Rhinolophus ferrumequinum: one gene and its partners. The protein of the gene in region 2 purifies or fractionates together with the protein of the main gene of each other region. This does not show direct contact. Links are inferred from orthologs where the notes say so. Each region holds a gene or a part of one and is shown on either strand. Other genes may lie near its edges.

Region 1 (7,416 bases), on a different chromosome or scaffold from region 2:
CAGCTCGGCCATAGGCCAGACCGGCCTGCTCTGGGGGTGTTCTTGGGGCTGGGTTTCTCCATCACCTCCGGACACGCTGAAGTTGGGGTCATCCAGCTTGCCCCAGTCCGGGTCATAAGACCCCTGGGGAGGGGGAACGGGACCTTCACCCTCCTCCTCCAGGGCCTTTTCCTGCCTCGTCTCTGGTCTTGGGAGAGGCTGGGGGTCGGCTCTCTTCCCCAGGTCCCTGGGTGGGGGTGGCCTTTTGCTGGTGGCATTGTTAGAGAAGTCACATTCTAGCCTCCTGGGCTCACTCCTTGAAGAGTCGACCATCTGGCCCTCGGCCTCTGTGTTCTGAGAACTTGGGGGCATGGCCAGGGCTCCAAGCAGGCCTCCGAGGGGGCCTTCTCTGTGGGCAACTTCTGGGTGAGTACCAGGGGGCAACACGGCCTCGGCTGATGAAGCAGCGGCTCCGCTCGCCCTTTCTCCTGTGGCTCTTTGAGGCTCCTCCGTTCTGCCTTGGACTCCCACCCTGGGAGGATCTTCTAGGATGTCGGAGGCGGGTGCAACGCTTTTCTCTAGGAAATCACAACTACCGTTGTCCTCCAAGCCTTGCACAGGGCTGGCAGACATTTGTCCTGCACATGCCACTTGGTTTTCAAGACTCGCTGGGGTCTGGGGAGAGCTTGAGGGGCGCAGGCTGGCCTGGGCTGTGGAGGTGGGCCCACTGGAAGGCCTGTCCTCAGAGGCGGGTCCCAGGTCCTCCGGGAGGGGGGTGGCATGAGCTACTGCCGGATTCTGAGGGGTCCCGTTGGTCGTTTTGGTGTCCACTTCCATGGGGAACTGTTGGCTTTTTAGAAACAGACTTAGTTAACACCAAGGAACCTGTTTTAGTTTTCTGTGTAGCTTTCGGTCCACACTGAAAACATTAGCTAAAAACAGCAAAAACGAACATTTAGTCAACCCTCTCCTTGTTACACAAGCATATTCCCATCAATTGCTGCTGGGGGCCACCTAGGGCCACCCAGGTGACTGAGAGACAGGGCAGGGAGGTGCTACACAGGTGACCACGCTGGCCTATTGCCCCGTCGGTCGGGGGTCCCCGGCTACACAGTCAGGGACGGTCATGGCACACGAGAGTCAGCTCCTCACTGCAGAGAGAGGAAGACAGGGGCTGCCTCCAGCCAGGTCACCTTCTCGGGGTCCTCTCCTGGCCCCCCCATGCCTCTGCTCTCCTGCCCTTGAGCAGGTGGGACCCTGAAGGGGAGGCAGCGCCAGAGCCACCAACCGGGTTTCCTTTCCGTCTTGGGTTGTTACAAACAACAATATTTGAATGACTCTAATTTCCTTCAGTTGAATCTCAAAAGGAAAACCACAATAGTGAAGTTGAAAAGTAGCACAGAAACCTGGGGAGAGGAAAAGATTGATTCAAGAAGCTTCCATGGGGAGATGGCAGCAGGGCCTTGTGGGCGTTTTACTTAAGTGAGGAGAAGGATATGTTAGTGATGCTTTGCTTGTACACCTTTCTCTGTACGTCTGAAATCTGTATAAAGGCAAGTTTTGAACAGTTTAAATCTATAGAAGTCAGCTCAAAAGTGTGCCAGTGAGGCCCCTCCCCCCTATCAGCCCACTCTGGGGGTAAAGAGCTGCCTCCAGGACCCTTCTTTCCAAATACCCAAGCCAGACAGTGAATGCCTGGCGAGGCCGCCAAGAAGCTTTTCCTGGTTAAAGTCAAGTGTTCAAAACCCAATCCCTTCGGCCACTTGTATTCTGACCAGATTCCACGACAGACACTCCTCTGTCTCCAAAAGGAACACCTATCTCTACGGCCTGATATTAAGAACATGGGGCAGGGGAGACCCCAGTGGAATGCAAAACAAGAAAACCACAGCATGTCTTTCCTTGGAGACATGGTCAGGACACTTCAGGAAGTTAGAGAAGCAACAACCAAGGCCACTTTGGTGGCAAGGGCATGACAGGGGAGTGGCATCTGAAACAAGCTCACTATCCACCTTTCCACTGACACATGACTTGGTGCCGACTGCTCTGGGCCACGCGCTGCACACACTCAGAGTGAGACCAGGAGAAGCCCCACAGACGTGACAGATAGCCAACAGCGTTTTCCTGCCAAGTCATCAGAGATGTTGCAGTACATCAAGAGCACCGACACTTACTTCTCTTTCTCGGTCCAGACTTGTGAGTTTTCTAATCCAATGGTGTCGCCCACACCAAAGCAAGCCTCGAGTTTGCTGCTCATGCGAGGACTTAGAATCCTGTGTGTCTGTGGGTCTCGCAGAGGTGTCTGAAAAGTCACCTGTTGGGGAGGGCGGAGAGCACCTGTTCAATAGTTCAAGTTTCCAACCACCCCGCTGGCAGTGCTGTGTGCCCCGCCCGCTCAGTAAGTCACCAGGTCCCAAAGTGACACACGGTCGGTCTCATATGGGTAAAACGTTTACCTTCATAGCTTTGGCTATGCTCTTGGGCGGCACATTTTCTTTCTGTGACACACAGAGAACAGAGGATCTTCCGGTAAGTTCCAGTGGTGAAAACAGGAAGTCGCAGTTTTCTGTACTTCTGTCACCAGTGACATTTTCGTCATTGAAGATTTGCAGACTCATTCTGGAAACACAGTTTCTGTCAGCTTGAGGGCTGCGTCGTGCAGACGTGATGACAGCTGACCCTGCAGTGTCACAGGGAGATGCACCCGTCCAGCACAGGAGGGTCACACCTCAGGCAGCGTGTCCTCTACCAGTCCCTGTCCTGCTTTGGGGGACTGTGGCTCTTTAGCTGGGCTGGGGAGCTGCCACCACCCAGGACCAAGAGCTAGAAGGGCCTTCAGCCCACAGGGTAAGGAGGAAGAACGGATTCTCGCACTAAGTCAGATTTGGTGGGTAAGGAGACAGGTAAGTGCTGGCCTGGAGAAACTGCAGGAGAGGAAGGGTGGGGCTCCCCACAGGCCTCCACTCAGGGGGCCGGGGCCTCATCAGGGCTGGAGCAGGTGGCCAAGTCAGCAGAGAACAGAAAAGCAGAAGGGTGCTGAAGCTTGCTCCGTCACCCTCACGGGGCTGGAAAAGGGGGACCAGAAGAAGGTGTCAGGAGGGCAAAGGCCCAGGGGAGGAGTTGGAGGGAACAAGCAGCCACGGGCAGAATTACTCAGCAGGGCATTGAAGACCTTCTATATGAGGTCCTGGAATCTCAGAATCACACCAGGGGCCTCCAGTCAGGCCCACAAGGTTCTAGAACAGCCCACTCTTGCCAGAGTCTTCCACACGGTCACGGCCATGACTCCCAAACTAGGAGCTGCCATAGAGCTGAGCACCGACCTGCTCAAAGAGCACTACCGGAACTTGTTGATGGTGGGGGCCTTGGGGGCTGCTGCAGCACGGGGGCAGCCTGGAAATCAAGGTCAGAGTGGGAGGTGGGCAAGACCAGGGGCCCTGGAGGGAGTAGGAGCGGGGCCCAAGCCGAGGGGCCAGCCCTGGCGTGGCCAGCAGGCCCACCGCACTGTGCAAGAAGAAAGACAGGAGACAAGGGTGACTGAGGTTTCTGGCCGGTGTAACCGGTATAAGTGGGGGGGAGGGGGCAGTACAGCGATGGCGGCCTCTATCAGGGCTTTGGCTTCTACTAACGACAGAGACCGCGGGAGAAGCTCCCGAGCAGAAGCTGCCTGCGTGGAGTGCTGTGGTGGGGAGGGCGCGAGCCCAGGTGTCGCCGTGATGGAAATGGCTCCCAGGTGGGCCGCCCCCAGAGAAGGGAGGCAGGCCAGGCACAGCCGGGAATGAGAAGTCGGGTGGGGGACCAGCAGGGGGCTGCGGGCGGGGCGGAGATGTGCCCTCGCAAGTCGCCGCTACAGGTGGAATTTGAGGCTGGACGAGGTCTCCAGGGGGACGCAGGAGGCCTGCGGCCCGTGCCCTACGGACGACCCTTCTGGAGGGCGACCAGGAGACGAAGTAGCCGGAGAGCGTCGGCCGGGCTGGTGGGATGAGGACCAGGGAGATGTGCCTGGAAGGGCGGCGGCAAGGACGGGCGGCGGGGACCGGGAAGAAGCGGCCGTGCCGGCGGCGGCCCACGAGGAGTAGCCGCGGGAGGGGCCGGAGAGGGAAGTTAGCGACAGGGGTGGGGGTCGGCCAGCGCCCACCTGACGCCAGAGGGACCGGAGGGACTTCGCCGCCTTACCTGCCGGCCGCCGCACGGAGCAGACGGAGCGGGAGGCGCGGAGTCCCGGGTGCGTCCGCCCGCCGCCGATTCAAATACCGACGGTTGGCGCGCGCGGCCAATCAGCTCGCGGCCGTGGGCGGAACGCACGGGGCGCCAGCGGCCAATGGGAGGCCGCGCCGTCGGTTGCGCTTCCGGGGCTAGGGGCACGCTGGGCGAGGCGGGAGTCGGAAAGCCTCCCGGACCTTGGCTCGCCGAGCGGGCGGACGGGCGACGGCTGCAGGCCCCGCCGTCGACCAGAGCTCTCGGGCTCTGCTGCGGACGTGACTGGGTTGAGCGGAAAGGGGGGGCCTGAGCCGCTCGTCCGGGTCTCAGTTTACCCAGCTGTAAAATGGGACCAGGTACAGCTCCGCCCTCAAGGCGGGGCGTGAGGAGGAGCCAAACCCTTGGAGGACTGGCGGGCGGGTTCACAGATTACGCCAGTGTGCGGGGCGGGGGAACTCCATTTCCCGGAGTGCTCCGCGGGGTCTGCGTCTCCCAGAGCGCCCAGCGTTGCCCGGGGCGGTACTCCATTTCCCAGAGCGCCCCGCGGACGGGAACTCCATCTCCCACAGTACCCGGCGCCCATCCCCCGGCGCCTACGGGACCCGGACGCTCGGGCCTGTTCCCCGCGCCGTGGGCGGCGGCCTTGCCCCGACGGCTTGGTGGTGCCGGCGGCGGCGCGATGGACAGTCCCGAGGTCACCTTCACGCTGGCCTACCTGGTGTTCGCCGTGTGCTTCGTGTTCACGCCCACCGAGTTCCACTCGGCCGGGCTCACGGTGCAGAACCTGCTGTCGGGCTGGCTGGGCAGCGAGGATGCCGCCTTCGTGCCCTACCACCTGCGCCGCACGGCTGCCACGCTGCTGTGCCACTCGCTGCTGCCGCTGGGTGAGGCGCCTGATGCTCTTGGTCATTGTTCCCCTGGTGGACGGAGGCAGCTGGCCGGGTCAAGGGCTCGCGTAGCCCAGCCCCAGGGCCCCTGAGGTGGCTGGGTCGCGGGGTCACCTCCCTCTGGGGAATAGTCAGAGAGAATGCCGGGAACACCGGTCGCCCCGAGAGCCGAGGCTGTGGGCCGACTGCCCGTGTGTTTACAGCCGGCGACAGCTGGACGTTTGCAGGTGGCAGAGCCCTAGAGGGGATGTTTCCCCCAGCTGGGGCAGGTCGCCAAATGTTACGTGGGTGGCATTACCCAGGAGAGGAGCACAAATTAACTGATTCCAACACAGGGAGGAGGTGGCCTTGCCCAGGCCATGGAAGGTGGGTGTGGAAAGGGCAGGCAGAGATGGTTGACACCACGTGAAGGTGTCACAGGTGCAGAGACTGGAAAGCCTGTGTTTGGCCAGTATGCTCAGTGGTTATCCAGAGACTGTGCTGGGCGCTGACCCAGGTGCTAGCTGGCCCATGGGAGGCCAGTCTGTCTTCCGGTTGGTCGGGGGACTGGCTAAAGAGTGGGGTACTAGTCAGGATTTCTGGAGGACATGGCAGAAGCAGGTCTGGGACAGCAGGTGGCTGGTGGCCGGCCCCACCTGCAGCCCTGTGGACACAGGGAGTGGTTTTCACCTGGCAGCTGGGCACAGCAGTCCTGCGGACGTGGAGAGCAGCCGGAAGGGGGCTGGGCTGAGGCTGCAAGTGCATGGGGGCTGTCTGTGGGAATCCAGAATTTAGGTGTCTGCATGATTAAGGTGGCCACACATGGAAGAGGTGGTGAAGCCTGGTGGTGCCCAGACACAGGGCTGTTTTTAAATTCATTTTGAAAAGCTTTGAGGCTTCTAGATCGAACACCTATTGCAACTTAACAAATTATCCTAAAAGGTAGTGACTTGACCGACAGCAAACGTTTACTATTAGGTTTGCAATCTCAGACCTGCCTGTGCAGCCGCTCGCTATCTGCTTCATTCATTTATTTGACTTGCAGATGGCCCCCACCTGGCCTGCAGGGGCCCGGGCACTGGCTCCTGTGTTCTTTTGAGGTGCCCCCATCCTTCTCTGCTTACTGTCTGGCACATGATGGGCCAGCTTAGGATAAGCCTCCTCAGAGGGTGTGGGGTCAAGAGGCCAATGGGGGCCAGTGGGCAGCTCTGCAGAGGGTGACACCAGATCCTAGTATTTATTTTGCCTTTCTAGGTTTTTCTAGTTTTCCGTACTCACGTATTGTGTGAAAATTAAAAATGCTTTTCCTTCACTTATTGTGTCAGTGCCATGGGCAAGGGCTGAACCTGGCCAGCCGTGAGACTCACCTGGCCTCGGGTACACAGCCTCACCTTGGGAGCTGACCAGGGCAGAGTGCCAGGCCCAGGGCTGGGGACGCAAGGAAGTGGCCCCCTGGGTGGTGCAGGGGCAGCACTGCAGCTCTTGGTGAGCACCACCAGGGCAGGGCGAGGGCCTGGCATGCGACCTTTGCTGAGGCCGCCCCGTCCCTTGCAGGCTATTACATGGGCATGTGCTTTGCAGCCTCGGAGAAGCGGCTCTACTCCCCTAGCCAGGCCCCTGAGGCCTGGCAGCTCTTCCTCCTGCTGGCGGTGACCCTGCCCACCATCGCCTGCAGCCTCACCTACAACTGGTCCCGGGACCGGTGGGCCCGCCACCCACTGGCCCGCACCCTGGCCCTCTATGCCCTCCCGCAGTCAGGCTGGCGGGCTGTTGCTTCCTCAGTCAACACTGAGTTCCGGCGGATTGATAAGTTTGCCACTGGGGCGCCGGGTGCCCGTGTAATCGTGACGGACACGTGGGTGATGAAAGTGACCACATACCGTGTGCACGTGGCCCAGCAACAGGATGTGCACCTGACTGTGACAGAGTCACAGCAGCATGAGCTGTCACCGGACTCAAACCTGCCTGTGCAGCTCCTCACCATCCGTGTGGCCAGTGCCAGCCCTGCCGTGCAGGCCTTCGACATCAGGTAGGCACACCTGTGGTGGGGCAGGGCGGGCTGGGGCTCACGGGCGGGCGTGTGCCCAGCTTGTGCCCCATTCCGGTGTCTGTGTCCCTCTGGGAGGTGGTGATGGGTGGGAGTGGCTCCTCCAGTGTGACCCTCCCTCAGGGCCCCTCCCTGGCCCCCTGCCCCCCTCTTGCCCCCACAGGTATCCTCCGCTCCCCTTTCATGCACGTTGTCCTCTGAGCTGCTTCCATAGCTTCTCAGGGGAGCACACTGCGACATCTGGGAGCTGGGCAGCACAGGTGTGTTGCTGCCTCACCTGTGGGGCCTGGGCTGGAGCTGAGGTCCTCCATCTCTCAGGCCATG
Region 2 (6,946 bases):
AGACATAAATGATGTCAAGAGCATAGATAATAGTGAAACATAGCATAATAATTAAGGTTGTTTTGAATATTTACTATCCTTTAAAATATAAGTTATTTGAGTCTAAGTTTATATAATTCAATTTTTAATATTGGCTGTGTTTAATAAACGAGTCACAAAATTTCTGAAAATTCAACAAATCGCTCCTATCAGCCAATAGGAGCCGGCTCCAACCCACTGCTTCTTACTCACTTTCATCAATTTAGACACGTGATAATGTTTCAGAGGAAACAACTACATCCTCATGTTTTATAATCGGATTTGAGGTGGTAAGAAACCTTACTTTACGCATCTCTCCTACTTTGCCCTGTTCATCTCTCCCATTCGGCTTTTCCTGAGTTGTACCCTTTATAATAAACGAGTAATAAGCTGTTTCCTGGTAGTGATGGCAATAGGGCTCATGTCTTTGCAATGGCTCAGGCTCCTCCTTAGTGTGCCTTTCTCCAGGTGTGTCACCAACTGAAGGCCTTTGAGAGTTTTGTTTGTGTCTTAATTCTAGTGGGATGCCAACACCAGGGGGATGACTTGGGTCCAACGCCAGCCGATGAGAATCCTGTAGGTACGTGCAACAGTCTGACACTGACATTAGCTTAGTTTTTTCTTTGATTTAGAAGGAAGGCATTTCAGAGTCTCGCAGCCCTTCCTCAAGGCTTATTTTGAATGAATATCATTCACTATTGTTCTGATAGGAATATAAACGATGCGTTGAGGAATATAAATGATGAATAGCAATAATTATTGCTTGGATTACTGTTACTTCGTTGACTTTGGGTTTGCAGAATGGTTGAGAGAAGTTTGATAGGGAAGGGATTATTTTCTTTCAAATACTTCCTACGTGAACTCTGGTCCAGTAGCCTGGTTCCCTTATCTATGAAACTGAGTGTCTGCCACGTGCTGATCCTTGGTGTTGGTTACTAGAATAAAACTAGTTCCCTATGAGATGCTTTGGAGTTTTTCAAGAGCCTTTACATTTGTCACAGAGGCACAGCAGAGTGGTTCAAAGATGGACTCAAGTCAGACAGACCTGGATTTGAAACACCACTTATAGTTACATGACCTTGAATAAGTTAGTTAATCTGTTTCTCAGTTTCCATAAAAACAGTACTTCCCAATGAGGATGTTAGCGTGAATGTTAAATGAGATGATGCACGAAAAGCACAAGCATGGAGCTTGTTAAACAGCAGGCTCTCCATTCAAACAAACAAACAAACAAACAAACAACAAACAACCTTGATGTAGGGGGCAGGTAATGCTATTTTCCCATCGGGATGAGTCAGCTAAGAGGTTAGTAACTTCCCCAGGGTCACACAATCAGCAAAGGACAGAGGCTGGACTGAAACCCACACTGATTCCTTTACAGCCTGTAGAATGGTGACTTTATTTAGTACACACACACACACACACACACACACACACACACGCGCCTCAGAATAACAAATGGGAAATGCTTTCTATGCTGTTCAGTCACCTTCTTGTCCCCCAGTCCAGTGTGTCAAAACTTAAAAATTTTCCAGGCTTATAACTGACTGGTTCTGCCAGGCTTGACAGATAAATTATTATTCTTGCCATAGCTTCTTCATCTGCAAGATGGTGCTAACGAAACTGTCTACTAGTTAACATGGGGATTAATTACATCTTTGCAGTGTACTTCGGATTTCTTGAAGAAAGATGCCACTTACGTGGCAGGCATCCCACTAGGATGGTGTTCCTGTATGACTGTTGTGACAGAATGACATTTGAGTCATCGGCCTGTCAGCATCACTAAGTAGTACAGTGCTAAACTCAGTGCTAGGCAATTGTTGCCTAAGCTCAGTGCCCTTAATTGTTGGTCTCCCTCCAATTTTTTGAAGGCCTGCTTTTTTAGAGAGAGAAACAAAAGGAAATATATTTCAATTACAGCAAGAAAGACATAGTTCAGGTCATCTTTTCTAGTTGTCAATCTTTCTAAAATGTTTGACATTGAACCGGCTCTTTTCGGAACAAACGTTTCTACAGATTTTTAAAATTAATTTTTAAACACATTGTACACACAGTTGGGACAAAATTTAAAAGGATATGCAATAAAATGTCTCCTTCCTACTCTAGTCTTGCCAGCCTGAGTTTCCCTTCCCAGAAGTAACCACTGTTTCAAGCAAATACTGTGTGTGTATTTGTGTGTGTGCCTTCTGTGCAATACAACTGTGTAAAAACATAGTACACACATTGTACTATAACTCTTCTATTCTTAATGCTCTGTGTTGTTAGAGAGCATTCCGTTTTGGGGTACACAAAGTTATTTTTTTCTAATAAAGTTTGCATAGTATTTTATTGTATGGATAAACCATAGTTTATAGTCAGTTTAGTGACAGATATTCAGCTGTTTCCAATCTTTTATTTCAAAAAATGCAGCAATGACTATTCCTGCACATTAAAAAAAAAGTTGGATAAGAAAACATGAAATAGAGCCATTTGCAACAACATGGATGGATTTTGAGATTATTATGCTAGTGAAATAATTCACACAGAAAAAGTTGAGAACCATATGATTTCACTGATATGTGGGATATAAAACTGAAAGCAACAAAGGAACAAGATAAACAAAGAAACAAAAACTCACAGACAATTTTAGTGGTTACCAGAGGGTAAGGAGGGAAGGGGATGGTAGATGAGGGTGAACGGGGTTATATATATGGCATTGGAAGGAGAACTGACTCTGGATGGTGAAAACACAATGTGATATATAGGTGATGTATTACAGAATTGTACACTTGAAGCCTATGTAATTTTACTAACCATTGTCACCTCAATAAATTTTAATTAAGACAAAAAGTGGGAGTCTACCTAAAGCTTAAATGCCCAGCAATTCATTTAAATATTGCCAAATTGCTTGCAGTACCAACCTACGTGTATATCCTCATTAGTAATTCAGGAGAGTGCTTATTTCCCCACACCCTTACATATCCCCCTAGAATTTAGCTTGGTATCATTGTTTGATGTTAACCATTTTATATATAGCCCTGCTGTGCTTTGAGCCTACCAAAGCAAATTTACATTTTACCAAAACTCCACCTTTCCTTCTAATCCACCTAATCCACCTTTCCTCCTATCCTCTTTTGTTTGGTGAGATGTCCCAGGTTCCTCTGGCTTCATAGAGCTGACTCACTCTGTGGATTACGGGTGTGTTCCTAGAGGTCGTTACTGGATGGCTTAATCAATCTTAAACTGTAGGACCTACATCTGAAAACAATAGGAAGAGTTCTACTCCATATCTTTTTACAGATTCTTTCAAAAACAAGATGATTGTCATTTACCTGTAATTTAAGTTCTTCCTGATGAACTAGTTAAGATAATTTGTTTTCAGTTCCTCCAGCATTCCACATTAGTTGGAGTGGCTGTTTTCTCAGCATAGAAAACTCCCCAGATCTTTGCCTGGGGGGGCTCAGTTCAAATGTCACCTCCTGCGAGTTCTCCCTGACCATTCTCATTTAAAACAGCAATTTCTCCCCACACTCCCACATTTCCACCCCACTCTACCCCATTATCCTATTTTATTTTTCATATTTTTCTCATCACTCTGAAATTATCTTATTCAATTGTTTATTATGTGTTTAATCCCATTAGAATATAAGCTCCAGGAGAGATGGTACCACAACTCTAGTCGCAGTACCTCCGGTGTCTAGAACCCTAGCTGGCACTTAGTAAGCCCTGAACAAACACTTGTCGAATGAATGGACAAATAAGGAACTATGTTCTTTATTTTCCTCCTTCCCCTTTAAACACGCTCAGAGTGGACCCACCTGAATGCGTAAACCAGGCGGAGGACGTTCAGCCTCGCCATTGGCTGGAGTATTACCGTTGCTCCTGGCAACCACTGTTTCCCACCAGTCGTGTCGCCACCCCGCCGGGCCCGGCCTCTCATCGCCCCGCCCCCAGACCGCCGACCATCGACCCATTGGTAAAAAACGATGCTTGCCCTTTAAGCGGCGGGACTTCTGGTCAACGTCGTTCGCTAACGCCGGAAGGGGAAGTTTCGCCTCCGAACGCTCCCTCGCTCGTCCGAATTCGGTGGCGCCACGTCCGCCGGTCTCCGCCTTCTGCACCGCGACACCTGCCACTCGCAGAGCCGGCCGCGTCGTGAGGGGCCCGGGACGGGGAGTCGGGCGGCGGTGCGCATCCTGGCCACCTAAGAAGCGAAGATGTCGGACATCGGGGACTGGTTCAGGAGTATCCCGAGCATTACGCGCTACTGGTTCGCCGCCACCGTCGCGGTGCCGTTGGTGGGCAAACTCGGCCTCATCAGCCCGGCCTACTTCTTCCTCTGGCCCGAAGCCTTCCTCTACCGCTTCCAGGTACCGACCGGCGACGCGGGGAGTGGAGACTACAGGTCCCAAGCGGGTGTCCGCTGGCGTAGCGTAGACCAGCATGTTGAGGACACGCGGTGCCTCTTGGGATTTGTAGTGCGACCGCTCAAGCGCTTTTGGGCGGGGTCCGGTGGTCTGGGGACGCGGTGGCGGCCAAAGGGTTTGGAACAAGGGCCTGGATAGCTGGAGGGGTGGGGACGTGGGTTTGGCCGGGTGGGAAGGGACTGATTTAGTCCTGCTATTAAGACTGTGCTCCCTGGCCTCTGCACGCAGAGGAGGCAGTGGGAAAGGAAGTCTGTGACAATTGTCAATCTGTTGTACGGTCTGTTCTACTAGTGGTTAGCAGCCTGGGTTTACTTGGAGTAGGTGCCCTCTGACCTCTGCCACGTGGGTGGCATAAGGCTGTCAACTTACCCAACCATCCAGCTGAGTTCCTTTTGTGTTGGTGGAGTTTTTTTTTTTTTTTTTTTTGTTTTTGTTTTTCCTGTTGGAGTGATTTGAGGTCAGAGGTGCAAAGAGTGAGTTTGTTTATCTGCATTTCTCCCAGACCCTGACTTAGTGTCTGGCACGTAGCGGTTGTATGTACAAGGAATGAGTACAGAGTTAATTGCTCCAGAAATGGAAGGCCTTGTTATTTTTTTAAGCATGAAGGAAACCATCCACATTTACATTCCTGGCAAGAGAATATTAGTTTCCTGGAGGTTGTCTTTACTCACTGGATTCTGTGATTTAAATCTTTAATCAGTGGCAGGTCAGATACTAAGAGCTGACATTAATTTCAACACATAACGTGGCCTATAGATAATACTCGCTCGTTGGCCTCTTCACTGGCTGTTTCCTAGTCTCCTTTGCTGCTGCTTCATCTTCCTGACCTTTAGATGTTATGATGAGCCCCAAGGATCAGTTATAGGACCTCTTCTTTACATGCCCCAGAGCTGTACGGTGATCTCGTCTAGCTTCATGGCTTTGAAAACTTTCTATAAACTGAAGACTCTCAAATACAAATACATGTATTTTTAGTCCAGATTTAGCTGCTGATTTCCAGCCATCTATTTGAAATTACCGCTTGGGTGACTGATAGGCACCTCAAACTTAACATGGCTCAGACTGGATACCCTTTTCCCCACTGCACTGGAAGTAAATAGAAACTGCATTATTACAGGAGCTCAAGCTAACAGCCATGGAATCATCCTTGACTTCTCTTTCTCACACCCCACCGTCTGGCAGTAAATTCTGTGTGCTTTAGACATAGATCCCGAATAACAGTCACTTGTCATTCACCATTGCTAGCTATTATCATTCCAGCCTGTTCCTTTCAATCTTTTCTCTAGACAGCTGGAGTGATCCTTCTAAAATATAAATCAAGTCTCCTGTAAGTCCTCTGCCAAGAACCTTCCAATGTCTTCTCAACTCATTGAGTAAAATCCAAGTCCTTTCAGTGGCCTGCAAGGCCCTCTGCTTCCTCTCTGCCCTCATCTCCTGCTACTCTCCGCCTTCCACGTTAGGCTCCACCGTGGAATCCTTGCTGTCGCTCCGGCAGCTGACTTGGTCTCTTGATCTCTCGCCAGGGCTGTTTGCACATAGCATTTCTCTGTTTGAGGGAGCTAACCACGGCTTACCTCCTTACCGCCTTCCTCTTTTCCCAAACCATCTTATTGGCAAGGTCTTATTTGATTGCCCTACATAAAATAGTACCCATCTTTCACTGAGTCTCCCTTACCCTTAGTAGTTTTTGCTCTCACTCCTGGCTTGGTATTAGTCCATTTCCCTTTAGAAAATACGGCTCTGTGAGAGCCAGGTCTTTCCTTGCTGACCACTATCTTTGTTACGTAGAATAGTGCCTGGCATAGCAGGTACTTACGTGTTGGTTGACTGCATGGAAATAATTGGAGGTACGATAGTGAATAAGCTGGAAAGGGTCCCAGCTACCAAAGGAGGAAAATGAGAGAGGCATGTGATAGAGAGTGACTTAAGGGGTGTATCATTTGGTAGCGTGTTCCAGAAAAGTCTCAAAGAAGATACCTGAACTGAAACTGGATGATGAGGAGCCATCTTTGGGAAGACCTGGCTCTAGGGACAGTCTTTTGGGAAGAAGAAATAGTCAGCTTAGAAGCAGGTGCTGGAAACAGAAAGTAGACTGGATAGCGAGGACAGAGTCAGCTGTGGGGGTGGGGATTGGAGATGAAGACGCAGAGGCAGCCAGGGGTGGGTTTAGTAAAGCGAGGATGCAGAACTCGGCCTGGGGCTCGCTCGCATAGGGCCTTGTAGTTTGGACTGGATTTCATAGTCACCAGGAATGCTTTGGAGCCTTCAAACAAGCACTGCCAAGTGGGATGGACGTGGGCTGTGGGAGAGGGAGGAATCCAGATAGGAAGTAAGAGAGATGGTGTTTTGGGCCAAGATGGCTGTGAAGATCGAAGTGGGTCGCTTTGGGAGTTGGAGTGGGCACGCTTGCAGCTGAATGGATGTGAAGGGTGAATGGAATGGGTGCAGGAAGCAGGACTCAGAAGGTGTCACTGTTTTCCCAGTGGGTGATGGAGCCCCGTACTCAGATTGGAAATATTTCG
Region 3 (7,734 bases), on a different chromosome or scaffold from region 2:
ACTGGGTATGGAAGTACCAAGAGACGTCCCAGTGAACCCGTGGGGCTCCAGAGAGACTCCCCCCGACTCTTGTGGTGGAACAGCAACCCTGGCCCCTCATAATCAGGAGCATTACCACACTGCCGGTGTGGTAACCCCGCCATCTCCAGGCATAAGGAGCCCAAAGTGTCCAGAAGGTAATCACTCAGTTCAGTGGCAATCACACTACGTCCCCTGGGACACGTGCTCCCTCCTCCCCTGAAGCAGATAGAGTCTGAGTGTGGGGACAATTTAAATGCATCTGGGTTATTTAAACCATCTGTAAATAGGTCTCCTGCTTTTCCTCCCTTTCCCATCCAGCTAACTGAGGTGTTGTTTGAACTTGTTCACAGTGTACAAATCATGTAATTTTTTATGAACCTGGGGTTTTGGAAGAGAAATAAAATATCTCTGCTTTAAAGGACAACTGTTATCAGCATTCTGTCTCCCATCGTCCAAAACTGAGGTGGTCCTTTTATCTTTTGATTTGAGATGCTCTAAAGACCATCCCTCTCTATCCCACAGGCAGTAGCTATATTTCCCGATTTAGTTCCCATGGCTTTACTCTCATAAGTCCACCCACACTCGTGAGGTCTTTGCTCTAAGGATCTAGCCAGTCCCAATATTTATAGACCTTGTACTCTGTACCCAGTGCAGTCCCTAGCCCTGGGGACTCAGTGGTGGCCCAAGCCAACTTGGCCTCTGTTCCCTTCATGGAGGGCAGAGCTGGGAGACAAACGGTAAACTAGATAATATCATCTAGTGATTTAAGTGCTTTGAAGAAAACAAACGTTTAGGTCTCCTCTGAGGATGCAGCCTACACATGCTGAGATCTGGATGTCAAATGGGGTCAGCCCTGTGAGAACTCCAGGAAAGTGCTCCAGGCAGAGGGTACTGCAAATGCAAAGTCCCCGAGGGATTATGAGAACAACAAGGCTTGCAAGTAGCGAGTTCCCTGGAATGAGGTCAGAGGATCGCACAGGGCCTTGTAGGCCCTGGAAAGGAGCTTGGGTTCTATTCTGAGGACAACGGGAAGCCAATGGAAACTTCCGAGCTGGGGAGTGACAGGATCTGATTTACTTGTAAAAAATGATTTAATCCTTGCCATGACCCGTGAGGTAGGGACTATTAGTCTGTTTACAGCTGAGAGATGAGCAAACTGAGGCTTAGAGAGGTTTCCTTGCCAAAGTACACAATCAATTAATGGTGGCATCAGAGTTTGTCCTCAGGTCTCCCTGAAGAACATGAGATGGGCTTTGTGACTTATTTAAGGCAGAACTTTGCCTCCAAACCTTACTTTGTGTCATCAGCCTAAATACCCCTAGCAGAAATCTAAGGATCTATCATATAGTACTAATGAGTGTGGGGATTCCCTTTCTCACTTCTGCTCCTACTTTTTTGGATGAATTTAGTTGAGTCACCTTAATTCCTGTTGGCTTCACTTAACCTATAACGAGTAACCTAATGGGGCAGGAGGCCAAACGAAAACTGTTGCTGACATCTCAATGGCCTGCAATGAAGAGGCCACGTCCCTAACTGACAGGAAACACTGTAAGTTCCAACTGCTCAGAAATTGAGAGCTTATTCTAGGATTTCCAGGACTCCGCAGGACAGAATTTGTCCTTTATTAGGAACAAAATGGTAAGGTGTCAGCAAAGCCTTATTAATAGGATTTGAGAAACATATATTCATTAGATTCTCGGAGATACCTCTCAGTCACAAATTCCAGTGTGTTATAGGCATAAAATTGGGACTCAGAAACCTCCCCCATACACACACATCCTTCCAGAGAATGATGAGATTAATTTTCAATTAAACTGTGTGTTCTTACAGGGCAGCGGCTGTGTCCTGTTTATCTTTTGTAGTATCTGGTCCAGAGCCATTCAATAAATATTTGTTGAATGAATTCCTAAAATCTGTGGATGAATATAATTAATATATCTATTAAAAAGATCTTTGGAATGCTCTAGAACTGCATTTACAATACAGTAGCCACTATCCATATGTGGAAATTGAGCACTTGAAATGTGGCTAGTCCAAATAGAGATGTGGGGTAAGTGTAAAATACACACCAGATTTTGAAGGCTTAGTATAATACACACACACACACACAAAAGGTATTTTGGATACATTGGGTTAAATCAAATATATTACTAAAATTAATCTCACCTGTTATATGTGGCTCCTAGACTATTTTTAATTATGCATGTGGATATTTTATATTTTGATTGGATAGCACTGCTCTAAAAGACAAAATAAAGGCCAAGGGCGAAAAATGCTCGCAAAGGAGAGATCAAGCCTATAATTGATGACACTTTCCATGCTCTTCATCTTGAATTTATCAAAAAAATCTTAGTTTTCTTCCAAGGCATGTGTGGACTCCCATGGCAAAGAAGGATTCTGCTCAGGTCAGAGGGGCAGACTGGAGCTCATGGGGTGAAACGTGGCTTGCAATTATGGCTGACTGACAGTACTTTTCCGAAAAACTGAGTTATCACCATTTTAAAGCAGGGAGATTTCACATGCATACCCAAATTCGTCGGTGCTCTTTAAAAATGAGAAGTTCTGGCAATACTGGTCTCACACAGAAGCCATCAGCTGCCACTAAAACCAGAAACCACTTTTGCACAGGGAAGGGATTCCCCAGTTTGCCATTTTGTATGCCCTACACTGAGGCAATTTCTTGTGGAAGAGTCAAAAAAACAAAACAACAACAAAAAGGAAAATTGTTTGTTGTAACTTTGTCTTTATTCAAGGAAGAAAACAGAAATGTAGAACAAGAACAAGTATGTGTCTTTGAGAAAGTGAAAAACATCCAATGGTGTTTAATGTAAGTACAAAGTATGTCTGTTAAAAGAGTACACCTTAAATTAGAATTACGCAATAAATCCAGAAGGGCATCTGACTTTGCCATCCCGCCCCCAGTTTGTCTGGGTTGAGCATTATTGGAGATGTTGACCAGTACGTCTCCTCAGATGTTTTGAGTTGATGTAATAAATTCTTTAAAGTCACAGCTATTTACATCCAATTTTACCTTAAAGGTGTAAGAAAAATTCCAGGACATGGAGGTTTGTGCAGACCTGGTAAGACCTGACACAGGCCTGAAAGGAAGTAACCAAAACCTAATGTACTTTTCACAAGACTTAGCTTTCAAAGCTCTTTGTCCTATCTCACCTGGTCAATCCTGTGAAGTGGGCAGGGGTGGGATTCTGCAGATAGTGAGGACACTGGGGCCGTGCTAGTGATACGGGCCAACGAATAACCCCCCTAGGCCCCCCCACTGAAACACTTTTTTTCTTTCCTATAGAAATTTTAAGTTTCCTTTTCCCCAGGTTTTTAGCTCCTACCCCTGCTTTAGATAATTACCCTAAAACTTGTGATTCATACTTGTTGAGTGTAATCCATTCTCTGTTGCTCGGGTCCGCTCCTATTTCTTTGGAGTGTACTATGGTTTCTAATAAACTATTCTTTCACCATTTTATTTCTGTGTCTCGTTCGTGCAATTCTTTGTTCGAGTCGCCAAGTACCCTGGACACCGCGCGGAGAAAAGCCAACTCTCCCCTACCCCTAGGAGTCACAGGAGGAGTCTGTGGAAAAGCATGCGTCAGATCCCGACCCCTCTGTCTCCCCAAGGTCTCCGGACAGTGGCCAGAGGAGGCGGATGGCAGGAGAAAAGAGGTGGAAACGCAAAAGGGAGACCTAAAGAGAGGGGGCAGGTTGGAAGGGACAAGGAGCGCGCAGAGGAAAGCAGACATTGAGGTGTGGGGTAGGGTTAAGGCCGTGCAAAGGGTGAGGGTCGGACTGCATTCTAGAAGGAATGCGCTGAGGCCGCACGTCAGGGGCTACTGGGGATTCTCGTTCCACCAATGGCAACACGGAGCGCAGAGAGGAGGTGGTGTGCCCAAGATGTACATCACTTTGCAAGGTGGGCGCTAGCACTTGAACCCAAATCTGATCCCAGTCCCGGGATTTTATTTAGGTCGGTCACAGGGAAGACAGGCCAGTGGGCGAGAGACGCGAGGCCTGGGGCAGCAGGAGCAGAGTCGCACGGGGGTAGACGGAAAGCTTCGCCCAAGGCTGGTAGGCCAATTAAACATCAAAGACCCAGGTGGCCAAGTCCAAATAATCCTGGCAATCAACTTCCATGCAGCGATTTTCCCGCGGTCCCAGCCTTCAACGGCTTCGGACTTGAAGGCGGCGTCGGAAATGCGCAACCAGTATTCGGGGGCTTTCGGAACCTCCCGAGAGATGGTGAGGAACTGTTGGAAACGTCAGGGCAGGAGTCAAACATCAAACGATATTTCGGAAGGGCCACAATTTCCTTAGAAACATTCAAGAATACCGGAGATCCCCGGAAAACGTTTAAGAGGCAGCCGAAATCTGCCGATTCGGGAATTTCCGAAGCTTCTGTGGCATTCGGGAATTTCCGGAGCTTCTCGAGAAGCATTCGGGACTTCTCGGCTCTTTACGATCTCTTCAGGAGTCTTAGGTCCTTAGCAGATCCCTTCTTTGTCCAGGTTGTGAGGGCGACTGGTCTCGACAGGCCCTCGGCAATTTCCGGAAGTGTTCGAGCTAGGTCTGAGAGTGGCGCCCTCTGGCGGTAAGAACTCTCACCACCCCCCACACCCCACCACCCCCTTCTACCCCCTCCTTGCTGGGCCAGGACGCGCAGATGCAGTTGCGCGCCAGCGGCTGTTCCGACCGGATGTGGTTGCTGCTGAGATCAGTTCCGGCGAGTGACGGTGCGGACGGGTCAGAAGCGTAGAGGCGGCGGCAAAATGGCGGCGCCTGAGGAGCGGGATCTAACCCAGGAGCAGACAGAGAAGCTGCTGCAGTTTCAGGTAGCAGCGAATGCTCGGTGCAGCCAGTGCCGCCGCGGGCTGGGGAGTGGGCCCCCAGAGGAGCCCAGAACCCTCCTGAGATTGGGTCCGAGCTGCTTCTGAGACCAGCAGGCGGCCCCCTCCCCCCCCAGACGCCAACTGCCCTGCTGCCCCTGGCCCCCGAGCCTCTGTCGGTTCTCGGCCTTCAGCCTTGGCTGCTGCCATACCCGCCTTTCCCCTCTCCCGTCAGCGAGTCAGCTTCCCTGATGTCCCTTAGCGGCACCCGTCCTCCGCCATCCTTCCCCGGTCGGACACTCTGCCCAACGACTCTGAATCTACCTGAGATGCTTAATCCCCACCGCGGAGTTGGCCTCGTTTCGGGTCCCTGGAAAACCTGCTGCCAGCATCCCATGCCATTTCCACAAACATTTACTGAGGGCTTCTTAGGTGCCAGGTTTTGTGTTGGGCGCTCTGGTGGGGGAAGGGCGGGCCTGGCTCCCGCCCTAAAGGTGTGGGAGGACACCATGTAAGGAGACAAGTGCTACGTTATAAATGTCATCAGTGGCTTCTGACAGGGTTTACTACCCTGGGCTTAGTCCTGAAGTCACGTGCTTGACTGTGCTTGAGGAGGATGGTAACTTGCAGAAATCGGCCTCAGTGGGTGTGGAGTTGAGAACTTCTGGCACTAAGCACTTTTCTCTGAGTTTGATGGAGAATCTGGGTGGAGGAGACCACCAGGGTGGGTTAACCTTGGCTCTTTGTTACCCTGATACCAGTTTCCTTATTGTTTCTAAAATATACACCTTAAAAATGTTTGCTCCCTAAGGGTGTTCTGGAGATTTAATGAGTTTATGGATGTCTGAAGGACTTTGTAAACTGTAAAATGCTCCCAAACAGTATTGCTGCTTATTAATCATTATTTAACTTAGGAAAGAATTAAAGTTTGTGGTACGTTTTTTCCTAATGTAAAAATGTGCTAAATATTTATTCGTTTCAGCAGTTACTTACCAACAACCTTAGTGCTCAGGCACTGCTAGTTAGTAAGTGGTGGTGTCAGATTTAAAGCTGGGTCCATCTTTCTAGAACCTTTCCTGAGCTCTTGACTTGTGTGCTATACAACCTGGATAAATATCAGTGTTCAACTGAGTGTGGACTGCAAATGCTGTGATACTGGGTTTTTTGTTTTCTTTTTTTAACAACTTCTCACTTTTCTGTAATTTCCTTGATTTTACCGTAATTGATTTTGAAGTGTTTTTTTCTCTTCAACTGAGTAGTGATATCTGAAACTAATAGAATATTGTGTGTTAATTATACATCAGAAAAAATGAGCAGGGGGTTGGACGTGTACCTATAAGTGGAAAAATACTATTGGAAGTAGTTGACATTTGATTGGAGTTTTGAGTAGAGAAATGGATGACACGGTAAATTAGAATCAGAATGAATAAACAGCTTCCACTTCCTGGTAGACCACTAATTGCAGAGTTTTGTTTAACTTTGGCAGATCGTTTTACCCACTACAGCGTTTCAGGGATAAGACCCCTGTTGTTAAATGTAACGTGGTGCTCTGAGTTGTAAGTCATGATGTACTTGGTAGTATGCTGGTGGGAGAACATGATTACGTGCTAGCATTTCTGAGATAAAGTGCATAGGAACCTCTGTTTTAGTCGTCATCGGACATCTCTCAGTAAGAGAGGCGAGTAGCAGGTTAAAGTTGAATTGAGATTGCGTTATGAAATTGGATTTAATAAGGCAAATGTATTTTACATTTATGTGTTCTTTAAGCAGTTGCTGGATCAGGTTCATCATCCGAATTGCCATTAAACGTTCTTTGAAATTTACTAGGTGTCAAGCACTATACCAGGTATTTGATGTACATTAACTCTTTCAAACCTCTTAAAATAACACCATAAGGTGTTAACCGCGTCGATTTATTGATGAAGAAACAGGCTCTGAGAGGTCAGGTAGCTTGCACAAGGAGTAAGTGGCCGAGAGTTAGAGATCCATACCCATAACCATCTGTTTGGTCTACAAGCTAATGGAGAAGCCACATACATACATGAACGAGTACCGTGCAGTGTGTTAGTGCTCCTAGTGCGGTATGGTGTAAACTAAGCGCTGTGGGGATTTAGGGAACGATAGGAGCACTGGTGGGGGTAAGGGGGCAAAGAAGGATGGCTAATAGTTAATCAGTATCTCCTGTGCCTTTGTGCTTGTCATCCTCGCAGTAGCCTTGCAAAAAGTGCCGTAAGGAAACAGATCTATTGAAATATTTGCTTAAGGTCACTAAGCTATTAAGTAGTGGAGATGGAATTAGAGTTAGAAATCTAGTGGTTCTGGCTCTGGACTTCAAGGCTGGGCTCTTTGCACCCACTGTACTTGGCCACTTTGAAGGAGGAACAGAATTTCAACAGGTGAAGGACATGAGGAGAGGATTCATAGCTGAGGAAACAGCTCAAGCAAGGTGTGGAGATGGAGTGTGGAATGTGTTTGTTGCGATGGGTTTCTAGAAGTGGAAGTGGAAAATAAGACTGGAAAGGTAAATTAGAGCCAGGGCCTCCAAAGCCTTTGAAAGGTTTAAATTTTAACCTGTAGGCATGGGAGCCATCACAGGTTTTTTTCAACTCGGGAGTGACATAACACTAGGTTTCAGGTTTGCTTCACTAAGAGTGTGGGGCATGCGCTTGGAATCCCCACAGGGGTTGGGACAGAACAGAGTGAAACTGCTAGGAGCTGGTTCTCAACATGTTGCTTCATTTGATATATTGAAATTAGTAAAAGTAAAATATTTTAGAAATCTCAGGTTTCGTCTCTTTCACATTTTTGTGACATGTGGTTTGATTGCAACTCCCTAGGATATGTTTATCATGCTTCTCAGTCCGTTTGATGTCTTCCAAGA
Region 4 (8,013 bases), on a different chromosome or scaffold from region 2:
CCCAGAAAACCTTACATGTGGACACTGAAAACTGAATTTCATATAATTTCCTTGTGTTACAAAACATTATGCTTCTTTTGATTTTTTTTTTGTCTCAACCATTTAAAAAACGTAGAAACCATTCTCGACTTGCCGACCTTACAAAACAGGCAGCAGGTCGGATGGGCCTGCGTTGTGAGCATCTCGCTAACTCTCTGTGCCTCAGTTTCCTCCTCATCTGTACTAAGGGGGTATTAATGGCACCCACTGAATGCCATTCAAACAGCGCCTGGCAAACAGATAGTATGTGCTCAAGAAATATTAGCTATGATGCAGATAGGCCACTCAGTGGAGTCAGTTTGGGGATTTGTATTGCAAAACGAAAGCAGTGAGAGACTCGTTAAAACCAAGCAAACAGAAATGCTTAAAATCAACAGGAAAAACAACAAGGTGGATCGAACCATTGCAACCCAAGGTCCGAGTTGGGCAAGTTTTAAGAGCCCTATTGCTCTCTATTATCTGAGCCACCCACGTAGGGCTTCTATTTCTGAAAAACAAGTCCCAAGGTCCTTGGGGGGTCTCCCACAGCTCCCCAGAGGGTCGTTGATGCCATGTCTTGGGACAGGAGAAAATGCAGATGGGCCTGGGACACATGTCATTGCTAGAAAACAAGCGTGTGCTTTCTGAAATGTCAGCAAAGATTGCTGAAAGGTGAAAGAGATAAAGGATCTCCTATTCATCAAAATATGACAACTTGAGCTTCTAAAAGGAAATATCAGAACTAGTTAAATAGGACAAGGTCAGTCTCCTAAAAATTGAAAGTCCATAATGGCCACAATGGCCCATAAATTCAAAGGGGTAAAATTAAAGTGTAGAAAAGGTTAGCTTTATAATAAAAACATTAGTGCTTTTTTTTTTAATTTTAACAAGTAGAGGATGAAGCTAGAGATGCGTTCTATTCCTTCTATTAACTATAATGTCGCTTCCAGTGCATAGATTTGTCTTCTTATTCGCTGAGTAAGGATGAGGAATGAAGACAACACGCTGTGAATTAGCCAAATAGTTCAGAAAAAGCAAGAATCAAACCACACACAGGAAGTGGCTCCAGAAGAAAGAGGAAGGAAACAGGGCCCACTAGGGGGATGCAAGTTGCAAGATTTGCAACAAGTCACGAGAAGATGAACCAGTGGTGCAACTTCAATTCATCACCTGGAAGTTAAAAGCTAGAACCTTTGACTAACGAGCTATGAGAAGACAGACAGTGTCGGTTATGCGAAAAGAGCAGGCCTGGTGTTAAACACTTCACAAGCATCCCCTCATAAGAACTCTAAGAGAAAGACTCATATTATCCCCATTTTACAGATGTGAAAGCTGAGGCTCAGAGAGATGAAAGGAAGTCCTCCTCTGAATCCAAGTTGGCCCGGCTCCATCCACCCCATGCCCAGTTCGGCCCTCTGGACCTCACACATGCTCAGAAAGATGCAATTGCACCTGGGCCTGTGCAAGCTCTTGGTCCCGGGACAAAGAGTGCTGCCCCCCAAATCTTCCTCCTGCTCAGTCCCCTGAGACCCGTTTGAAAGGCTTCCCAGGCCCAGGACACATTCCCAAAGAGCATACCGTGGTTGGCATTGACTTCGGGCCCATCTGTGCCTGAGGCCGCCCTAACTCTCGTCATCTCATTGACTCTTTGCAGTCCTGGTAGAAGTAACCATTCTTCTCACAGATGAGAAAACTGAGGCCCAGAGAGCTAACGAGGCTAAGACCTCACAAAAAGAGAGTGGTGGAGTTAAGGATTGAACTCAGGTGCTTAGCAACCAAGTCCACACCTGCCCCATACTGCCCCCTGAAGAAGAGAGCCAGTGCCTGGAGGGGCAATCCCATAATGAGCATGGGGGATCCAAGAGTGGGGGTACATGTGGCATATCTGTGTGTGTGCATGGGACAGATTGGCTCCCGCACTCCCCAGGGAAGTCTGCCAATGGGTACAGCACCCCTAAAGTTCACCATCGCTCTCCTGACCAGTCCAGGTCTCTGGTCCCTGATGTGCTTAGTCCAGGGCCCCTCGCACATTTCTCCCCTCTCTTCCTGTTGCAGAGCTCACGCCTCAGCTATCAGGTTTCTCTCCCTCCTACTCCCCTCTCTAGGCAGGACCTATGGAGGGGAAGGGTGTCCCCAGGTTCCCATTATTTACAACCAGCCTACAGGATCTTCCTCTGATGCATTCACTCCTAGGGAATTATTCCAGACGTTGCAATTGACGATTCCAGAAGTAACCGAGGGGACAAGACATTTCCTACCATGCTTTGTGGTTCATGGGACACAGTGGCTTCAAGAATGGCCACTGGGTTCCCCCACCCCAGGAATTTTGTGCCTTCTCGGTTCCCAGATCCTCTCACCCCCTTCTTCCCAGGACGTGTCCAGGAGACCTCTCTGCAGAGGAACGGGGAGTGAGGGAGTGTGAGGATGAGGGTAAGGAGGGGCTGAGCATAGAGCCCTTGACTCAAAAGGGACAACCCTGAGCCCCTCACTTTCTCCAACTCCTCCCGCCCCCTCATCTTTCTTCATTCCTCCTCCAATGTTCTGCACTCCCGGTGATGTCTTGCATCCCTTCTGTACCCAGCCAGGGTCTGGGACACACACAGACCCCTCGCAGCCTCCATGGGGCTCCCATTGGGCAATTCAGAGGTGGCTCATCCTCTTCTCTCTACAGCTGGCCCTGGAAATCTGCCAAGATGCTGGTGCCAGGCCCTGGGCAGGAGGGGGATGCCTGTCATCCCCATTAATCCTCTGAACTGGGTGCCACCATCCCTCTTGCAGAGGAACTAGGTGACTTGTCCTGGGTCACATAGGCCAAACAGAGCAGGAATAGCAGGTGACACACAGGACTGCCCGGGCAGGGAAGGGTCACCTGATAGCTATTGGCAGCTTTGTGCAAGGCAGCTTCCTGCCCCAGTTCCCCGCCCCTCCCAGACCTACTGCCCCCACCGGCCACTCCTTCCTCCTAGGCGGCAGAGACTGGGCACTGTGCTTGGGGCACGTGTGGCCTGCGTGCTGCAGCCCTCAGCACCCCAAAGCTCCAGAGGAAGAGGAGGAAGAGCAGGAGGTTGGGGCGACAAGAGGCGTGGCCACCACAGCACTCGGAATCGGAGGTAGAGGGAGGACAGCCCTCCTCTCAGTCCCCAGGCCACTGGGCTGAGGGGGCCGAACTTGGCCATAGCCTGGACAGTGGGGTGCTTGCTGTTGTCCATCCAGTGCGAGCGGTGGGAGGGGTAGACAAGCTTGGAGAAAGGCCAATGTACAGATGGGGAAATTGAGGCACAAGGAGGAGAAGAAATGCCCAAGAGGTGTGGAGGGTGGCCTCACCTCAGCCACAGCCTAGCTCTCTAAGCTACAAATAGATGTAGAGCTGTGGGGGAGACGCCCATTCAGCCAGCTCAGGGGGAAGAGTTGGGGCCCTGAAACCAGATTGTGGAACTGGGCAGTCGGGAGGGGATGGACCTCTCATGCAGTCGCTCAGTGCAGTACACTGTGAGGGGGTGTGCACCACCCCCATGCAGGAGCAGAAACGAGCTCAGAGAGGGACGGCTCCCCTCCCTCACGCCCTCCGCTGGGAGACCCCCTGGCACTGGGGGGTGGGGTGGGCGTCCTGTGCACACCAACACTGGGCTCTGAGCTCATTTTGAGCTGCTGCATTTAATCCTCATAGCAGCTCGACAAAGTTAGTACTGTCGTGATCCCATCATACAGATGGGGAAACTGAGGCACAGGGAGGTTAAACAGCTTACCCGAGATCTCATGGCCCATGAGTGGGGAGCCGGTTCCCTGGTCTGAACCTGTGTGCTAGACGAACCTGCAGGTCACTCACCTGGCAGAGTTCCACAACTGAGAAGGGAGACAAAAATGTACTCACCCATGCAGTCATTCAACAAATACCTGTGGAGTACACACTATGTCTCAAGCAGGTGTGGGTGTGGGGAGGGGGTACAGAGTGCGATGTGGTCTGCCTTAGGTTTTTAAAGGGATCGCAGTCAAGTGGGGCCCTACTGGCCTCAACCCTGCACCATCACCCCCGACCTCCACCAGGGCCCCTAAGGGCCTGCAATAGAGCTGGACCGGGGCCACATTCCTGAGGAAAATTCCAGCAGTATGTGGATCGCACTGGTCTGCCAGGAGCCACATCCAGCGGAAATAGACAGGTCTGAGCCTGGCGGGGAGTTGAGCCTCCTCTTGCCCAGAGAAGCATGGAGAGCAGGGCTTCCAGAGGGTTGTGTAGACCAAAATAAAGAGCCTACTGTGGCACTTTACATAAGCCATTTTGTGTATCCCTGACAACCATGGTACCGTAGGAAGTAGGACTTCCAAACCCTGGTGGTGCAGGTGAAAACACCCTCTGGTTCAGAGAGGTAAAGCAGTGTGCCTAAAGCAGCACAGCTCTTCTTTCTAAATGTACTCTCTGACCCCTGACCTGTGCCCACGGCCACCCAGCCTAAAATGGCTACGTCCCCGTCAATCAGACCCCCCGTTTCAACTCAAGGAAGTTGAGTGAGGTTTTGTATCTGACTTGGAATGAATAGCCTGTGTGTTATGGGCCTCAGTTTCCCTGTCTGACAAGTGGGCACATCACCCATTGCAGCCGCCACCCCTCAGCCCCCCCACACACATACCCACTGCTCATGGCAGCAGTGCGTCAGCAGCAGCAGGTATTTCAAGGCTGCTCAGTAAATGGCAGCTCTCGCTACCAATAAGGCAGCCATGGAGAACTCCCCAGTGCAAATGTAGGGCCAGGACAGTAATGTTGTCCCAAAGTGCCTGACTCACGCCACCCCCACCTTGGATGCAGGATGCCGCGATTTACGAGCGGGACAATGATTCCCTTTGGTCTGTGGAGAACGGGCTGTGCGCTGTCCAGGGAGAGCACATACAGGCAGCGTGGGCGGGCAGCTCATTGTCAGGAGGACGGACTTAGGCCCTGTTTGCTCCTCCGATAACTGGGTTGACCTTGGTTAATGTTCACCAGCAGCCTCCCCCATCGCGCCTCTGGGTCCACTGCTTAAATACAGACGAGGACAGGGCTCTGTCTCCTCAGCCTTGGTCACCAGCCCCGGCCCAGGACAGTGAATCGTAAGTACGTATGCCTTCTGCTGGGGAGAGTCTCCGGAGGGGGCTTCGGGGTCCCTGCATACCCAGGCAGCACCCCACCGTCACCCCCGCCAGAGATGTATGGAAAGTGGAGTGGGGTGGGGGGGGCTCCTGTCGTCATAGCAATAGCATCCTTGAAGATCTTCTCCTGCTCCCCAGAGCCTGCCCAGGGCCTCCCCAGTACCTACTGGTGAATAAACTGGCCCTCGATAAGCAGAAGTGGAGGTGGCTGTGGATAAGCAGGCTGTGGTGTCCTGGGACCCAGGAAGGAGCATGTTTCTGTTGGCAGAGCTGCACCCTTCCTGCCAGTCATCTCCAGTAGGCCTCCCCTCCCCTACTGCTTGGCTGGGTATCTTTTCCTGTGCTACAGATGAGGAAATTAAGGCCCAGAGAGGGACAGTGGGAAGCCCAGGCTACTGAGGGGAACTGGTGGGGAGGCCAGTCCAGACTAGAAGCCCAGAGTCCCAGCTGCTCATCGGGCCTCCATCCTCTGCAGAAATGCTCAGAACGGAGCTGTGCCAGGCTTCAGCCTGGAGGGATCAAAATGGGCCTCCCTGTGCACTGGCCCTGGGTGTCCTCATGCACAGAGCAAGATGGGAAACGCTGGGAGGGGCACCATCATGGGGGCGCCGAGCGGTGTTCCTGAGCCCTCCCTCTGACCAGGTGGCTGCTAGGCTTCTTGTAAGCAGTCCCACATTTAAGCCCCACAACAACCTTCTGAAGTAGTTACCGTGGTTACTCCCATTTTATAGATGAGGATAGAGAAGTTTATAACTTGCCCCAAATTACAGACCATCCAGGATTCAAACTCGGGGCACTTAGCTCCAGCACTCATACTCCTGATCCACTTCTTACTGCGAACATTAATTCTCTGGGGCCTTGGGCGCCATTTGGGACGCGGGAAGCCCGGGCTGGCCTCGGGCCTCACTGGTGCTGGGCGGTCTCAACTTCTCTTTCCTCTTAGGCAATAGATAGATAACCTTTGCCCTCTTTCTTCTCACCCCAACCCACTGGCCTTGACCTCTGGAGTGTTGAAGGATATGATTTCTTTTTTCTGTCATTGGATTTTGGAGCTAGTGCTACAAAGATGACCATAGCCAAGGCAATTGGACTCCCATATAGTGCTCTGAAAGACCCACAACGAAATCAATATCAACTGATGCTTCCTGAGAGCTGACTGTGTGCCAGGCATTTCTTGGCACTTTGCGCATATTTAAATTGCACAATAACTCTATGAGGAAGTACACCCTTATCATTTCCAGAAAACTGAGGTTCAGAGAGGTTAAGTAACTTATCCAACATCACACAGCTGATAGCACGTGGAACACGAGCATTCTGGCCTCGTAGCCTCTGAGCTTAGCCACAAAGCAATGCTGCTCCTCTTGATTTAGCCAGGACACCTCTGCATTTTTCTGTTTCAAGGCTTCTGGCTTCAGCTTGATACATAGAGAAAGGCTGAAAGCCAGGTTCTGAAATTGAAATGCCTAGGGTTCAATCCCAGCTCTGTAAGCAACTAGCTCCATGGTTTTCAGTAAGTTACTTAACCTCTGTAGGCCTCAATTTCTCCATCTAGAAAACGGGGCTAATAATAATTCCCACCCAAAAGGGTAAGCTTTGAAGGAAGATTAGATGAAACAGTGCATATCAAGTACCAGATATTTGCGAAGTGTGATGATGACGACAGTGATGTGATGTTTGCCGTGCATAGCGTTTGGCAGCTAATAGGCAATAAATAAATATTTAGAGGATTGAATTTAAAATTTTCCAAACTCAAAGGTGGTTCATTGCTGAGCAGGGGCTCCTTCTCTGGTCCTGGGCAATGTGGTAACTGGCCAGGAAGAAATCTGCCAGTTCTCAAGCGTGGTCCCTGCCTGTATGCAGGTATAGGGAGGCTGCCATACCTGGTAGGTGCCATCACCTTGTTTGTTTCTCACAACTGCCCTGTAAGAGATTCTTTTCTCCACTTTACAAACAGGAAGATGAGGCTCAAAAAAGTGAAGTCACTTGCCCAAGGCACTTGCCTGTAAGTGGCAGAGCTGGGTCACACCTGGGCTTATTAAATGCCAGGTTTCAGCAGGTTGTGACCTCATGCACAGTTGTTTCCCTGAAACCCACTAGGTCACCGTCAGCCACTCGTTTCATGCTTCTGGGTGGACACGGTATGAGATTAGCCAAAAGGGATGGTTCCCTTCATTCTACCCTACCTGCTACAGACTCTGGAAACATCATCATGATGTCTTCATTCCTTTGCTTCATTCCTTTGGTCCATACACCTCCGGATGCCTCACTTCTACTTTCTCATCTTGGGGTGGCTTCCCTGGCACTAGGCTTTGGGGAGGGTGTGGGGTGCTGCCTTTGACAGAAGGGCGAGGAGAGAGCAGAAATCTTGGGCCCCCAAAGTTGTAAGAAACAGATTGGGAGGCAAAATAAAGCCAACAGGAGGCTGAAGGTCAGGGTCCCTTAGGGCCCAATGCTGACAATCGTAGAATCTGAGACCTGAGGACATGGCTGTCTCAGTCTGTAGTTCAAGTGGCGAGAAAACCAAGGCTTGTTCCAGCTTTGTCACTGCCTCACTGTGTGGCCTTGGCAAGGCCCTGACCGGCTTTGGGCTTCACACCCCTTACTGTAGAGGGAGGAAGCCGGAGCGGGTGATCTAACACCCAGGAAGATGGACTGGGGGCAACAAGCGCTCGCCCAGTTGTAGCCGCTCTCCACCTCAGCCTCACGGCAGGCTTGCCACCTTCTAAGTGAGAGGGCACCTCACCACATCCTTCCCCATGGGACGTCCCAGTCCAGTTTGTGCCACCTAACCTGGCTGCCCCTCTCATAAAGCATCCAACGTTAGTGCCCAGGACTTCAGTTAGGTCTATCCCCACCTTGATTTATCACATGGAG

The links.
Region 1: the proteins of DERL1 (region 2) and TMEM129 purify together in Homo sapiens (affinity purification with western blotting; 3 studies listed by BioGRID). This does not show direct contact. The link is inferred for Rhinolophus ferrumequinum from reciprocal best matches to the Homo sapiens genes DERL1 and TMEM129.
Region 3: the proteins of DERL1 (region 2) and FAF2 purify together in Homo sapiens (affinity purification with western blotting; 4 studies listed by BioGRID and IntAct, with this or other methods). This does not show direct contact. The link is inferred for Rhinolophus ferrumequinum from reciprocal best matches to the Homo sapiens genes DERL1 and FAF2.
Region 4: the proteins of DERL1 (region 2) and SERPINA1 purify together in Homo sapiens (affinity purification with western blotting; 4 studies listed by BioGRID). This does not show direct contact. The link is inferred for Rhinolophus ferrumequinum from reciprocal best matches to the Homo sapiens genes DERL1 and SERPINA1.

What each region holds. Positions count from the first base shown.
Region 1 is NC_046288.1:87,241,127-87,248,542, forward strand, and holds the start of TMEM129 (E3 ubiquitin-protein ligase TM129), read left to right. Parts: upstream 1-4,413; 5' UTR 4,414-4,525; coding exon 4,526-5,063; intron 5,064-6,599; coding exon 6,600-7,074; intron 7,075-7,416. Other genes in the region: TACC3 (transforming acidic coiled-coil-containing protein 3), read right to left, coding at 1-829, 2,154-2,293, 2,436-2,597.
Region 2 is NC_046297.1:60,505,717-60,512,662, reverse strand, and holds the start of DERL1 (derlin-1), read left to right. Parts: upstream 1-3,931; 5' UTR 3,932-4,214; coding exon 4,215-4,367; intron 4,368-6,946. UniProt on the Homo sapiens protein: Functional component of endoplasmic reticulum-associated degradation (ERAD) for misfolded lumenal proteins. Forms homotetramers which encircle a large channel traversing the endoplasmic reticulum (ER) membrane.
Region 3 is NC_046307.1:6,067,502-6,075,235, reverse strand, and holds the start of FAF2 (FAS-associated factor 2), read left to right. Parts: upstream 1-4,733; 5' UTR 4,734-4,796; coding exon 4,797-4,859; intron 4,860-7,734. UniProt on the Homo sapiens protein: Plays an important role in endoplasmic reticulum-associated degradation (ERAD) that mediates ubiquitin-dependent degradation of misfolded endoplasmic reticulum proteins.
Region 4 is NC_046289.1:8,778,401-8,786,413, forward strand, and holds the start of SERPINA1 (alpha-1-antitrypsin), read left to right. Parts: upstream 1-4,996; 5' UTR 4,997-5,104; intron 5,105-8,013.